Linked DNA regions of Caenorhabditis elegans. The protein of the gene in region 2 binds, or shares a complex with, the protein of the main gene of each other region. Each region holds a gene or a part of one and is shown on either strand. Other genes may lie near its edges. A codon is read from its position in the direction of its gene.

Region 1 (3,645 bases), on a different chromosome or scaffold from region 2:
ACCGAAATTTGTCAAAAAACAGAGGTGGTGCTATAGAAGTTGGACTGCCATTTTTCCGATATTGTGACCGTTCCGTGATTTTTGAGATATCATTATAAGAATTGGGGAGCATAGATTTTCAACATTTGCTATCAAACTGAACTAACACTTTTCTAAAAAAAATATCTTGAAACGCTATAAATCCTCCAAATTGGAGGGGTGTGCGCACTGTATGTATAAAATTTAGCACAAAATGCTGACTTTCATCAACGTTTATTTCTTAACATTAAACTTTCACAAGTTACGTTTTCTCCAGGCTCATAATTTGCGGAGAGTATTAAAAAAATGAAAAAAATTTAGAGGAAAATTTTTTATTGACGTCTTTTAAAATATGGCAAATACTCACTCAGTAGTCAGTAATTGCGACTTATCAATAAACATTTTTCAGGACAGTTTTTAAACGTTTAACAATAACACTTGGTACCATAGGAGGTGTTTTTAACAATTCCCTCAATGGCGCTACCCCGCCCGAAAACCAAGATGACTCAGATTTTTATTCAGATTTTTATACAAACTTGTGTGTAATATCTTTGAAACCTGTCTGTGAATGTCTCTAACAAGATAATTGTCATTTTTACAAGGAGGAATATTCATTGTTCGTCTGAGAATCTGAGAATCATATTAACGAAATTATAGGATATCAAAAAGGATTCACGGGGAGAACACATACTAGTAAATCAAAGATCGGTTGAATTCGAACAATGGAGCATTTTTTGGGAAGAAGGGAAAACGTGAAAACAATGTTTTGTGACATTTCTAATGTCTTTGGGAAATACGCGGAATTATTATGAAATGAGTGAAAAGTGATAAATTTAGAAAGAAGATTTTTTCGCGGTTGGGTAAAGGAATGTTTCTTGGCGAGCTTCTCCAAATTGGTTTCTTGCTATACAAGTATATGTTCCCATATCGTCCCATACAATGTTTTTGATAACGAGATCTCCATTTGAAAGAACCGTGAACTTGTCATTGTTCTTTACAAGCTCATCGTTGGACATCCATACCCAGTCGACTTGCTGATTTGCGCGGCAGACAAGGGTGGCCACGTTTCCAGTCATCTCAAAACGAGAATCAGTCCAGAAAACAATTTCAGGTGCGGATTTGTGATTTGATCTACACCCCGAAGCTTCTCCTTCTGAAAAATTAAATATTTATCCAAATTACTTCAGGTTTTATACAACATACCAATTTCGACTTCGGCAACCGTTTCTATTGTTTGATGTCCATTGTATCCGACACAACTGTATGTTCCTGAGTTTTCAGCTGATGGGCACTGGATGGTGAGTATGGAGGCAACAATTCCAGTGTCAACAATTGCTTTTCCAAAGTTCAGCAACTTCTCTTCGACATTCAATTCATTACTTCCCTGGATCAACTTTCCATTGAACTTCCAATGAATGGTAGCAGCAGGAGTGGACATTATATCACATCGCAATTGATATGTTTCTCCTCCAGGAATCAGCGCGCTTTCCAATGGCGCCACGATTTTTATCTTTGCTGGCGAGGTGAGATAGTTTGTATCTATCTCATTAGCTAGAGTAACAACAGCTGAGTGCATCTGAAAATAATTTAATTTAGATATTAAATTGCTGGAATCAAACAATAAAATAAAATCGGGACTCTCAACTTACTTCCGCATGCATTGGAGGATGTGCATTGATAAGGACAACTAAAAATGAGAGAAGGGCAATAGCGAACATTCCACCGGAGGTCAAACAATTGAATGAACTGTGTTGTCGTTGTACTCCTGAACGGGCCTTTTATAGGACCGCTACTAGAGGGCGGGCCTAAATGGAGCGGGAGTCAGTTCTATCCGTATATGCATTCCCGCCCCATTGTCTTCTTCTGCTTCTGTGAAGGGGCGGAGATCTAAGCATATGCAGATTATGACGTCGGATGAGAACATCCTAATGTGCTTCGTACGAGTTTGATCAAGAACTGGAGGAACCAGTCAAGCAAAAACGGCGGATGGCTCGTAATTAGGTGATACTGGGAAAAATCGTAGCAAATCACGTAACGACTGCAAATTTACATAGAATCTAATTTTTCTGCCATAGTATTTGGTCTGAATTTTATCTATAAAAATTGTCCCTAGAACAGCCATTAGCAGTAGGCGTTATTAATATAAAGTTTTTAGAAACTTCTAAGAACCTGCAAATGAGATAACCCAACAGATGGATTTTTTTAAAGAATAGACATGATATTCATAGAATAAAACTTTATAGTTGCATTCCTGTAACCTTTCGCACGATTTTTTAAATAGGTAGTCTAGACAGACTGGGAAAATATCATTCGGTGTTACTCTTAATAATTTTTTTTATTGGATTGCAACTCAATATGAACAGTGGTTAAGACTTTGATGTTCGATTTTTAGTGAAAGTTATTTCAGACGAGAAGATTTGCCTTGCCTAATAGGGTTCACGTAATAATTTTTAAAGTATACCTCATTCCGGATGTACATTAAAATTGAATGTTGAACTTCCGGCAAGACTAAAGACTGAACTTCATATACGAGTCATAGTAGAATTATCAAAAATCAAAAAGATTTTCCTTTGATCCTAGAAGGAATTTTGCTAAAATGTGGGTAGGGTCGCAAACAAAAGTTTGGAAATCGGTTTTTTTAAATTGAATATCCAACTCGCGCATCTTACTATAAGACATCTAAAAATTTTTCATATCAATTTTTATTAAAGGAAACTCTAAAAATAATACCAACGCAGTGGTCGTCAAATTGTTTATATTTAATTAGCAACCTTTTTGCATGTTGTGGTTTTTGCTTTTTTTAGCTGAAAATGTTTTCGCGCTGTGTCAGTAAGCGGTTTGATAATTTGGGGATTTTTTAAAGTTAACAAATTATTCAAAAAAGCAGAAAAGCTACTTCGCCCCTTTAAAACTTTAACTGGAACTGGAACTAATTCGAATGACGTTGCACGGTTAAATTTTTTACAGACCCCCACATTTATCTAGACGCCTTGTAGTCTGTTTGAACCCGCAATATAAAGTTATTTTTATACGACCCACGCACCGTGTGTATTTGAAAAAAACTCGAGCCTGGCTAGGTTTCACTTCACTGATGCCCATCCGGTCAATGCTCAAAAACTTCTGAACTATGCATTTCTTATTTTTAGTTCCACTGCATTTCATTTCCGGATTTTTGTTGAACTTTGACTGGTCATGAGAAGTTGGGCTAAGTGACTAAGGGGCACAAAATTTAAAAAGTTGTAAAAGATCCACACGTAGAAACTAGAATTAATATATTTTTCTTGAGTAATCAAAAATCTTGACATACCACAATTCTCAAAATCCGAAAAAAGTGCAAGACTGACAGTAGAACATTGTTCACTCAGTCGACAATTGCGCGCCAAAGTTTTGCCCAAAAATATGAACATGGTTTAAAAATTTGTAAAACTTGTTTTTTGAATTTGGGCAAGACTTGGGCAATTATTGTTTTCGGCCGTGGTCAAACTTAACCGAGACTATTGTTTATTGTCAAAAAACGTATCTACCTGAAGTAAAACTTACATAGTTAGTAGTGGTCTAAACAAAAAGCGAAGTATTATTTTCTGTTACGAACCTACTTTTTGTGTTATTCCCAATCTTTAAATTGTA
Region 2 (2,948 bases):
TTAACTACTAATGGCATTTCTAAGTTCTAGCTCAAACATTTTTAACTTCCATACAATTGTGTATGCCCAAATTACATTTTAGTATTGTTTAAAAAAATGTAAAATTCATTTTATCGATTAGAAATGTCTAGCTGTTTATTGTAAACATGCTCAGCTTTTTAAACATGAAATTGGAATTTGTAAGCTAGTTTAATTTGAATGCTCTTTGAATACACACCTAAGGCCTAAACGCAGACATCTAACTTACTGACCATAGTCAGTGAATTTTTAATTCCATACAACTATGTATTTCTGGGTAGTCGAAATAACAGTAAAGCAAAGTGATAATTAGAATACGAACGACTCTTCGTAAAACGAAATAGCAAAAACATAATTTTATTCAAGCTCTTTTTGTATAGTTATTTGCTGTTGTTTTTGCATTTGTTGCTGCGAATAAAATCTGAAATTTCGGTAACTTCAACTTCCGGAGTGTGTCGGGCTCTCTAAAGCTTTAGACTCATCAATCAGCTGCCCCGTCACCGGATTCTGATTTTTTTGCACTACACAATGCACTCGGCAACAATCGAATCGGAAGATGCAAATGATAACGCACTTTTGATTTCTGGCCGGCTCCATTGACAGGTGTTACTCAAAGTCACGTGATATCTTCAAAGAGCAGCATAAACTGGCGGAAGTGTTAGAGTGGATGAAGGACGCGGAAAGAGAACGCACTGCTCATTTTGGCACTCGCCGAACAATTAACCCGAGTTTCAACCACCCAAATTCGCATGGAAATAGACTTCCGTAAACAAACGAAGAAATAAGTTCTATTTCAATCAAGGTTTATTGTACAAGCCACTGGGATGACAGATTTGATGAGACACGGGTGAAACGAGATTCAAAAAAACGAGATTGTATGGTACAGAGACTGATATCGGAGTAAAGGTAAAAATTCATGGACAACAAGCAGATCTTATGTAGTCATCAGAACACTGATTTCCGCAGCATTCAGTCGCAATGTCCTTTCCTTCTTCTGAAAGTTCAAGAAATAAATAATTGAATTATGTAAACATTTAATTCAACTTACGTGGGTTGCAAAGATCTCCACAGACAGCCATGACTAAAGAGATGAGTTTTCTTCCGCAGGCACGAGTTTCTCCTGGTGCTGGAACACGTCTTGCTCGTGGCATTGGTCGGTGAGCTGATTCCATCATGTTGTGTTGAAGTTCACGGAGAAGTTGCATGCTTGCTGATTCTTCAGACATTGAAGGACCGAAGGATTGACGGAAACTTGCAGCGACTTGGAGTGCGCACAAAACGAAGATGATAGTAAAGACAGAGTTCATTATAATGATATGGATAACGGAAAATGAGTACGGGGAGTTGCTAGATACTCGTCAAAAGATATGAAGACGATGATAACTTTTAAATATTCTAAGTATTTATACTAATTTCCAGTTGGGAGGGGCCCCCGAATCCATCTCTTTGCGTAAGCCACGTGCCACGCCCCTTCTCTTTCTAAAAATCAGTATAATCATAAAGTGCAATAGGCGGAGCATCACGAAGGGGTGGGTAAACCCAGCAATTGAGATTGCTACAGAATCTGAGCTCTTGGTAACCAAGAATAATTCTGATTCATTATGCAGCTATAGTGCATGAGAGAGAAACGGATATCAATGGAAATGTGGGAGAAAATTCGGAAATTTTGAAAGTTAATTAATCAAAATAATAATGAACTCTCATGAGAATTTTAATCAAAAATTAGTACGATAATGTAGGAGGAAACAATGTGACTTCAAAATAGTGATCTGCGTCGCCTGGTCTGGAGGCAACTTCTTGCCCAAGTTTGGCCGAAAAATATTAATTTGGTGCAAAATTTTGCAGAGTTGAAGAAAAAGACGGACACTACTTGGTTCAGGCTGCTCCCACGTTTGACCTAACTTTGATCCAACTTATGAACCAAAATATTTTTTTTTCGGGTCAAACTTGAAAAAAAAATTGGTACCAAAAGCGAAAAGCTAACGCGATCAAATACCATATCACATTTTGAAAATTGTTTTTCAAAAGAAACAAATTAAAAAATAGAAGAAATATTATCAAAAAAGATTTTGAGGAAATTATGAACGTTCATTCGAGCACTTGTTCTGAAAAATCAGCGTTACTCAATTATCGTCTGCTAATCTGTAGTAGCTCAACAATTGGCCGGAAAATTCTACCGCAGTATTTTTGAATTAGCATTTCATAGGATTTTCTGTGGGTTTAGACTTGTTTGAGGCTAACTAAGACACTAAATTTAATGTTATTAAAGATGGGTAGTAAAAAAAACGTCATTTCTTTATGAACATTGGCAGATATTTCTTGAGAGTATCCTATTTAAACGGAAATTATGATCTGCCCTATAACGATGTCCAACTCCGAATAAGAATTAAGGAAAAAGAATTTGGCGGGATAAATATTAAAGAAAATTTCATCTGAAAACATCTGAAAAACATAACATACTGGAAATTCAGAAAGTGATAATTGTGATATGTTATTCCTTCCCACAAAAACATTGCTGCTCATACGCGTTTATCGATTATCTGCTCCGAGTCCAACCGCGCCTATTGACGGTCAGCGGCTTGGTTCTCCTACACCCACCGGCCATGCTGTCGCGTCAACACACCAAACTGGAACGATTCTTTTTGAGTTCATATGAAAACTTTGTAGCTTCCTATCCGTCTGAAATAAAGTTCTGAAATCCTTGAATGCCCGTGAGTTGTTTTTTTTCAATTTCCCAGTTGAGTTGGCAATCTGCAAAATTTGAGTTCTGAACAGTTTTTGTTACCATTATTTATTGATAAGTATAGGAAAATTTGAGAGAAGGAGGAGGCGGAAATTTGTTGAGATAGAATTGGAAATATGAGATAGTTGAAACAGAGGAAAATAATGAGTTAGGTTGGTTTCAGGAGGGTGACGGTAGGTGTGTAGAT

The links.
Region 1: the proteins of ins-6 (region 2) and zig-4 are in contact, whole or in part, in a crystal structure (PDB 8TK9), measured with the Caenorhabditis elegans proteins. Residues at the interface, in NP_495198.1 of Caenorhabditis elegans: Pro60 (codon at 1,148), Glu64 (codon at 1,136), Thr65 (codon at 1,133), Ala67 (codon at 1,127), Cys68 (codon at 1,124), Arg70 (codon at 1,118), Lys71 (codon at 1,115), Leu72 (codon at 1,112), Ser74 (codon at 1,106), Leu75 (codon at 1,103), Ala78 (codon at 1,094), Val79 (codon at 1,091), Cys96 (codon at 986), Cys97 (codon at 983), Asn99 (codon at 977), Gln100 (codon at 974), Cys101 (codon at 971), Ser102 (codon at 968), Asp103 (codon at 965), Ile106 (codon at 956); in NP_509335.1 of Caenorhabditis elegans: Lys47 (codon at 1,525), Val49 (codon at 1,519), Met70 (codon at 1,456), Val106 (codon at 1,348), Thr108 (codon at 1,342), Gly109 (codon at 1,339), Ile110 (codon at 1,336), Asp169 (codon at 1,109), Ser170 (codon at 1,106), Phe172 (codon at 1,100), Thr175 (codon at 1,091), Trp221 (codon at 953), Met224 (codon at 944), Gly225 (codon at 941), Thr226 (codon at 938), Glu241 (codon at 893), Phe243 (codon at 887), Tyr245 (codon at 881), Pro246 (codon at 878), Thr247 (codon at 875), Ala248 (codon at 872).

Annotation. Positions count from the first base shown.
Region 1 is NC_003284.9:7,923,560-7,927,204, reverse strand, and holds zig-4 (Zwei Ig domain protein zig-4), read right to left. Parts: upstream 1,772-3,645; 5' UTR 1,737-1,771; coding exon 1,668-1,736; intron 1,595-1,667; coding exon 1,222-1,594; intron 1,172-1,221; coding exon 852-1,171; 3' UTR 610-851; downstream 1-609. UniProt on the Caenorhabditis elegans protein: Required for maintaining axon position of PVQ and PVP neurons postembryonically in the ventral nerve cord (VNC) by preventing axons drifting into the opposite side of the VNC that could occur during body growth and movement.
Region 2 is NC_003280.10:5,998,870-6,001,817, reverse strand, and holds ins-6 (putative insulin-like peptide beta-type 5), read right to left. Parts: upstream 1,383-2,948; 5' UTR 1,326-1,382; coding exon 1,067-1,325; intron 1,013-1,066; coding exon 933-1,012; 3' UTR 809-932; downstream 1-808. UniProt on the Caenorhabditis elegans protein: Probable insulin-like peptide which negatively regulates synapse development at the neuromuscular junctions. Probably acts as a daf-2/InsR agonist ligand to prevent dauer formation under optimal environmental conditions.